2 linked regions of the Bombyx mori genome follow. The protein of the gene in region 1 purifies or fractionates together with the protein of each later gene. This does not show direct contact. Links are inferred from orthologs where the notes say so. Each region holds a gene or a part of one and is shown in the gene's direction. Other genes may lie near its edges. The genes, in order: spastin and nucleoporin Nup43.

What was found.
Region 2: the proteins of spastin (region 1) and nucleoporin Nup43 purify together in Homo sapiens (affinity purification with mass spectrometry; 3 studies listed by BioGRID and IntAct, counting the BioPlex papers as one, with this or other methods). This does not show direct contact. The link is inferred for Bombyx mori from reciprocal best matches to the Homo sapiens genes SPAST and NUP43.

The regions. Positions count from the first base shown.
Region 1 is NC_085131.1:9,723,978-9,727,814, forward strand, and holds part of spastin, read left to right. Parts: coding exon 1-97; intron 98-705; coding exon 706-905; intron 906-3,506; coding exon 3,507-3,670; 3' UTR 3,671-3,693; intron 3,694-3,837. UniProt on the Homo sapiens protein: ATP-dependent microtubule severing protein that specifically recognizes and cuts microtubules that are polyglutamylated.
Region 2 is NC_085111.1:1,602,064-1,606,000, forward strand, and holds the start of nucleoporin Nup43, read left to right. Parts: upstream 1-1,478; 5' UTR 1,479-1,593; coding exon 1,594-1,666; intron 1,667-1,893; coding exon 1,894-2,341; intron 2,342-2,978; coding exon 2,979-3,150; intron 3,151-3,937. Other genes in the region: queuosine 5'-phosphate N-glycosylase/hydrolase, read right to left, coding at 1-310, 519-731, 1,052-1,159. UniProt on the Homo sapiens protein: Component of the Nup107-160 subcomplex of the nuclear pore complex (NPC). The Nup107-160 subcomplex is required for the assembly of a functional NPC.

The DNA.
Region 1 (3,837 bases):
TGGTGGAATTCGACGGACTCCCGGCGGCCGGAGCCGACAGACTCATCGTGATGGCCGCCACGAACCGACCTCAGGAACTGGACGAGGCTGCGTTGAGGTAAAAAATAATAATGACTTAGTTTTAATAAATCAATCCAATGATAATGTGGATAGATATAGTGTTCTCAACTATTCTCCTACAGAACTCGTTAAAGCCTAAACCCATAGCTCTCGACTGTGGTCTCTGTTTTTTTTTTTACTTTAAATTTGCAACATCAATAATTAACGTATTGGAACAGAAAAATGAAATAATAAAAAACTTTTCCATTTGGTGATTATTGGTACATTGCTGTGCTGAACAGTATTTATAATAAAATGAAAATTGATTTTGCAATTACTTTGTGTTCTTGAAAAATCCTGATCCAAATTAAGAGTACTAGACGATGACCATTTTCTGAAAATAAATCGTAGCTAGATCGATTTATCGCCCCCGAAATCTCCTGTATACTAAATTTTATGAAAATCGTTGGAGCCGTTTCCGAGATTCAGATTATATTATTATATATATATACAAGAATTGCTCGTTTAAAGGTTTATATAATATAATACGTATAAGAGTACTAAATTACATTCAGAATTTCGAACGCAGTCTTATAATGTGGCGTAATATAACATTGTAAGATTTGAATAGTCTTTCAACTGGGTGTTATGGATTTGTTGTTGCAGACGGTTCCCGAAGCGCGTGTACGTGTCGCTGCCGGACGCGCGGGTGCGGGCGGCGCTGGTGCGCGGCGTGCTGGCCCGCGGCGCCGCGCAGACCGAGCTCGCGGACGACGAGCTGGTGCGCCTCGCCGCGCTCACTGACGGCTACTCCGGCAGCGACCTCACCGCGCTCTGCAGGGACGCCGCGCTCGGCCCCATACGAGGTGCGTGCGCGCCCGCCCACACCAACACGACCTACACGTGACCTCTATAACACGAACTCTTTTTTACTGGTGGTAGGACCTCTTGAGAATCCGCACGGGTAGGTACCACCACCCTGCCTATTTCTGCCGTGAAGCAGTACAGCCGTTGTAACTATACTGAGACCTTAGAACTTATATCTCAAGGTGGGTGGCGCATTAATGTCTATGGACTCCAGTAACCACTTAACACAAGGTGGGCTGTGAGCTCGTCCACCCATCTCAGCAAACAAACAAAAAAACTCACCGAGAGCTTTTTCCTACCTAAGCAGATGATCTTGAGAGACCACTTCATCGTAAGCTTAACTAGTAGGTGAACAGGTTCAAACCTAACGACGTTTCTAACACGAACCCTAGCAAGAGCAGTGCTTCACATAATCTACCACCGGATCAGAAATGCGACCCACTGCGAAGATCCGGCTGTGTCTGTGGGTTAATAGATAGCTCTGGTTTCGTATTTTAAAGTCTTCGATCAACAATTGTAACTAGATAAAGGGACACGTACAAAATCGAAGCAAAAACTGTCCGCGTGAATATACACATACATAGCTACGTTGGTTTACAACAAACGGAGAAAAAAGTTTTGAAACAGTTTTAAGTTTAAACTAATTACAACTATGCCACCTAGTAATAAAGTTCCAAATCTTCAAAACATTATCTAATACTTACGATCATTCGTCACAAACTTCGATCAATAATACTACTAGATTCGCGATTAGCGCTTCAAAAACGGCCCGAAAAATAAGACCACAAATAAATTTGTGGTCTTATTTCAAATTAGTATGGTCCAATCATAGCCAACACTAAGACGTCAAAACGCTGCAATGCGCGTTCAAAAACTGAGTAAAAAACCACCGTAACACCAAGGTTTTGGAAGGAATATCTTTTTTTGGTAAATTTATATTATTAAGTGTTTTTCATAAAATAATAAACACAATTATATTGTAAATAAAACACAATTTACGAATATTGTAATTGTTTGGCCAATGTTTGCAACAAGGCACCAACTATTGTAACAAACATCACCTATTCTTGGACAGGGAATGCATAGAGTAGTTTTGTTATTTTATAATGTTATTTTTGTTTGTAGATTTCCTAGTAGCCCCTTGTCGCTGTGCACAATGAATATATATTGTCGCGAAAGAAAGAGGAGAAGAAATATAGAACCCTTATAAAAATTCTAGAATTGTTCAATGGTGGTGGCAAATCAATGCAAAAAAGTATTAAAAAAACTTTATATGTATGTGTAAATATTTTAAGCGTATATGCTGAAAAGGATTTGTTTTCTGGGGGAAACGAACACAGCCATAAAATAAGCCTAAATTAAACTGATTATAGAAAAATTCATTGATATAAGATTACATTATATTTGTAAAAAAGAAACCGCTCATATAAAAATGACTTCTAAGAGACAGCTTTATAACAAACTGAATCTGTTTAAAGGTAATTAAACCTACATTATTGTTTTAATTACTTCTGTATAAAGAATACGTGGAAAACATGTTTCGTGTTTCCTTTCTTATTTTTTTTACTTTATTCAATTTTATTTTTTATCACCTATTTGTTGTAATAGCGGCAATGTAAAATATTATCTACTACTTTTTTGAATCTGTCAAAAATAGTTGCGACCATACAAAACAAACCTAAAACAAATATGTATATTCTGCAACTCTATGTCTTTCAATACTTACTGTGTTCTGAGCATTGAAATGTAATACCAAGAACTACATCTAGTTCCACAATGCAATAAGCACGAAATTTTAAACAAATATTTTTAACCTTATAAATTAGGCTTTAAGTATCATTTTAGAATAAATATTTTGTACTGATGACTTTTTATGTTCAAGTGACATTTTAAATTTATTCCATAATATTCTTTTTCTGACGAAAGGACCTAAATACATATATTTTGCAATGGTAATTAAACTTTATGTTTAAGTATTAAGGTTTATAATAAACTGAAGTCGTTAACATTATTAAACTTTTTTCTAAGAAATGAAGATGTTTTCGTGTCTGCAAACGTGGCCACTGGAGCGTCTTATTTTTGTTCCTGATCCTTAATCTAGTACTATTATTGATCGAAGGTCACAAAGCAATAAATTACTCCTGTCACTTACAAACGAAAAGGCATATGTTAAACAACCTTTAATGTTAAGTGAACCTTATGTGGCAACAAATAAAGTAACTTTTCCCGTTATAGCTTTGAGAACTAACATCGTTTTGTTTTATTTATTTATTTTATTTTAAATTCTTTCTTTAATATTTTAGAGTTGTACTCAGTGTGAACTAAACTTTACTGTATTTTTTCTATGCAAAGACAGAGCTAAATTTGAGTAATTCCTAAATCTCATCTTTGCGGATATCTCGCGTTTTTCATAAACATGTCGTCTATAATAATTTAAATCTTTATTAAATGCTAGCTTATAAAATAAAAAGAAAGAGATAAAAATACATCTTCTGTCTTTATTCAGTTATCATCGTGAAGTGAAGTCTTACGACCTTAGTGAAAATGCCACTGTCTGTACAATCTTTGCTGACATTTCAAAAGTCTTCGTTTCTTTACAGAGCTGGATCCCGAGGAAGTCAAATGTCTGGACCTGTCATTGGTCCGGAGCATTACCTTCCAAGATTTCCTAGATTCGCTGAAAAGGATCCGACCTTCTGTGTCTCCGCACAGCCTCGTCGCGTACGAGAAGTGGTCCGTGCAGTATGGCGATTTGGGATTTTGAATTTTTAGTTGAGGGTAGTTGAGGTATGATATTGTTCTTTTTTTGTACTACGATAATTTTATACTAGAGACAGCTTTACCTATTATAATCTTTGAACCTGCTACATTTGTGACTGTTGCGTTTTGATCTCGCGATCACTAGATGGCGCTAGGGTAACTAGCGACCTT
Region 2 (3,937 bases), on another chromosome or scaffold:
CAGCCACCAAAATCTGTGCTCTTTTGTAAATACCTAATTTTTGCCCTTTGTAGACAGCCTCGTCTCTGAACGAAGGGAAGTTGTTCACAATAATCTCAAGTAGTTTCAAGGCTGACTTGTTAGCTTCTTTCAAACAAGTCGTAAAAGTTCCATTGTATTTTTCAAGTAAAATCGCACCAGTTTCATGTAGCACAGACATTCTTTCCGTAAACAATGGTATTTTAGCTTCATTATCCCCTCTCATTATCATTTCTAGTTGTTCTGTAGTTATCTTCGAATAGTATTCTGGGTTTGTTATATCATAACCTTCCTGAAACAGAGTGAATATACATATCAGCTTTCATTTTATAACTGCTCTTTGTCCTTAGCTTAAATTCAGTATTCTTTAAAAATAATGCTTGTTTTATACATAATAAAGAATACTGTTGTTATTATTGTCAATTAAATGTGCTTTTGACAAGGTCTAACAGTGCAATAATGATATCTGAGCACTCAATTTACATTATTATAATAAATACCTTAATTGCTCTATCAAGGGCAGCCTCCAAAGCATAATACCCAGAATGTCCACCAACAGTCCATTTCAGAACTCCACTGTATGACCAGAAACAGAAGTTTAACGTGTCCGCAACAAACACCCAGTCCACAGCCCTTGGGTGTTCAACATTAGGATGTATACCTGTTCCTGCATCAGGGATTTCCAGTTTACTTGTAGAAATTGACGTGAGTATCTATAAACAATGAATATAATTTGATTGTGAGTAACTGTAAATTAATGTTTATTAGTTGAAGTTCTAAGACTATTTTTTTTTACCTTTACCCTTTGTCTGAGGATGAACTCACAGCCCACATGATGTTAAATGTTAGTTACTGCATCTTATGATGTCACAATGCAAAAGTTGTCACATACCTTGAAACATAAAGTCTAAGGTTGTTACACCCTTCAAACCAGTATGCAATAAAGATTAACATGTTTATTGTTTTTCTTTTCTAATACTATTAGCCTTAATAGATTAAACTGGAACTACAATATAAATTAAATAAAGTTTACCTCTTTACATGCTTTATCTAATCCTTCTTCATGTATCTGTACATGCTTGGCATATCTAGCAATAAATTCACCGGCTTTTGCTGGCAGCAAAACAACTTCGTCATCCATGGTTATAAAATGATAGTCTGAATAAAAAGTGAAGGTGGATAGAAAATTTCAATTTGAATTTAATTGTACTAGAGTGATTTACAGTTACAGCTATGATATTCACATTAAATAAAGCAGGAACACAAAAATTTGTTATCTTCAACATCTGTGATTTTAAAAGATAAAGATATCCAAGTGCACTCTGATTGGCTAAATAACTTAAATCATAGATTATACACTTAATATATTCGAGAAATAATAAAAAAGCATTAAAAAAGTTAACGCTAATGAATGATAGAACGGTAGGTTTAAATGTCTATGGGTATACACATAAATATATACGCGAGGAGTGAAGTTGTATGATTTGTTTTATTTTGTCTATTTAGTGTTTCTTCAGGTTTAAATGTGTAATAATGGTGGTTTATTAACTGTTTAATATCTGTGAAAGTGCACAAATGTGGGAAAATAAAACAAAGCCGCTGGACGTAACTTTTCGGGATCCTCAAAAAAGTCCACTTAAAAGTCTCAGTAAATGACCACCATTTTACTGAGATTTATGTCATCCCATATCATCTCATATCATTTAATTTAATTTCATCCCAGTTGATTAATGTCTCAGTTTAATAATCTTCATTTCATTTCATTTCACTCCATATTATCATTTTTCATGAAAATAATACTTAAAATTAAAATAAAACATGACTTAAAGGTCTTAGTTACCTGGTCATAAAATCCTTTTAAAAAAATTTTTACAGCACAGAAAAGCATCAGAAAGTCCAGAAACAGGGAAGTGTGTTTATTTATCTTCTGTTGTGTTCTTGTTCATTTTATGACCCATTTGTATACAAAAATGTCAATAGATATTCAAGGAACGTTTGTTTCTCAAAAAATAAATAAAGTCAGATGGATTCCTGAAGATTATGCTGAAACAAAATGTTTTCTCACCGGTAGTTGGGATGATGAGGTCAACTTAATAACAGTTTGGACTTTTGAAAGTGTTAACGAAGACGAAGAGGTAGAATATCCTCGTGCCCTTACCAAGTATCCAGTAGATGATGATGTTACACAAATAAAATTCACGGAAAAAAACAAAATAGCCGTTTCAATATCTAATGGTGATGTAAAAATACTTGAAATTAGTGCTTATGATAAACAAACACCACTTAAAGAAATATTTTCTTGGAAGTCTTTACATAACTACGGGTGAGGTTCTAGTTTTTTTTAAACTACTAAAAGGTTAAAGCAGTTAAAACTACAATTCACGAAAACCAGAGCATACTGAAGTCAGGTGTTATGTTGTAACTGCTTTGGCACAGCATGGTAACAATAGGCACACACACCAAACATCGAGCCAGCTATCCATATCACTCTCAATGCATTCTACCAGTCAGCAAATCATTAATTACCAATTCTATCATCAAGTAACTTAAGATGTAAATTACTTTATTTGAGTAAACATACTATAAAATGTTTTCAACAATTTATATCTAATATTTTATCAACAATAACAATTTCTGTTCATTTTTTTCTAATTTTGAAGATGAATTTTATGCCTTTTTAATATAAGAATTTTAATAAATACCACAAAATATCTACACCAATGTTACAATGAAACATCAAAGTTTTATTACCTGATATTGTAACCACCAAAGAAAAAAATGTATAATTGTGTACTTTTTGTAATATTCCTACCTATGAAGCTGCCAATCATGTCGTTTTCTAGAAAACTGCTACACATTCAGTTCTTTTAAAAAAAAAGGAAATGACTGATAAGTGTTTGAATTATTTGAAAATAGCACACATAACTAATTCTTAACTCGTAACAAATGCTTTATTTCAGTAATACAAAATGCTCTGCAACATCTTTGGATACATATGAAGGAGACATAGCTAGTATTGGTGAGGATGGCAATGTGAACATATTGAGTGGCCGAAGGGGTGAAGTCAACCGTACAATCAAAGGGGCTGATAGCTGTTCATTGCATTCCATTTGTTATTTAAAACACACAGAGGTAAATCCTTAATCTCTAACTTTTTGATTAACAGAGAGTAAGTTTTAGTTTTCTTAAATATAGAATGACCAAATCAAATGATGTTTTCTTCGGTTCATAGACATACACACAGTCATAGACATCACACATCATAGACAGACATAGCGATTCAAAGACAAGTATAAAAATTACTTGTATGGTTAATAAAAATAATTTAATTTACAATAAAAATGCGAGACAGTAAATCATAAAATTAGTTTTCATTACAGAAAAAATGTTATTTTTTTTTTAATTTTTCATGCTTATATTTTTATCAACTCTGAATGGACTACTCAGAAATTCTTTTTATCTTATTCCTGATTCCCATACAAAATTGAAATCTACATATAAAATGTTATTACATATTTATTTGTAGTCGTATGTTATTTGTAGTCGTCGTGGCCTAATGGATAAGACGTCTGGTGCATAAGTGTTGAGGCGATGCACCGATGTTCGAATCTCAGGCGGGTACCAATTTTTCTAATGAAATACATACTCAACAATTGTTCACGATTGACTTCCACGGTGAAGGAATAACATCGTGTAATAAAAATCAAACCCGCAAAATTATAATTTGCGTAATTACTGGTGGTAGGACCTCTTGTGAGTCCGCACGGGTAGGTACCACCACCCTGCCTATTTCTGCCGTGAAGCAGTAATGCGTTTTGGTTTGAAGGGTGGGGCAGCCGTTGTAACTATACTTGAGACCTTATAACTTTATCTCAAGATGGGTGGCGCATTTACGTTGTAGATGTCTATGGGCTCCAGT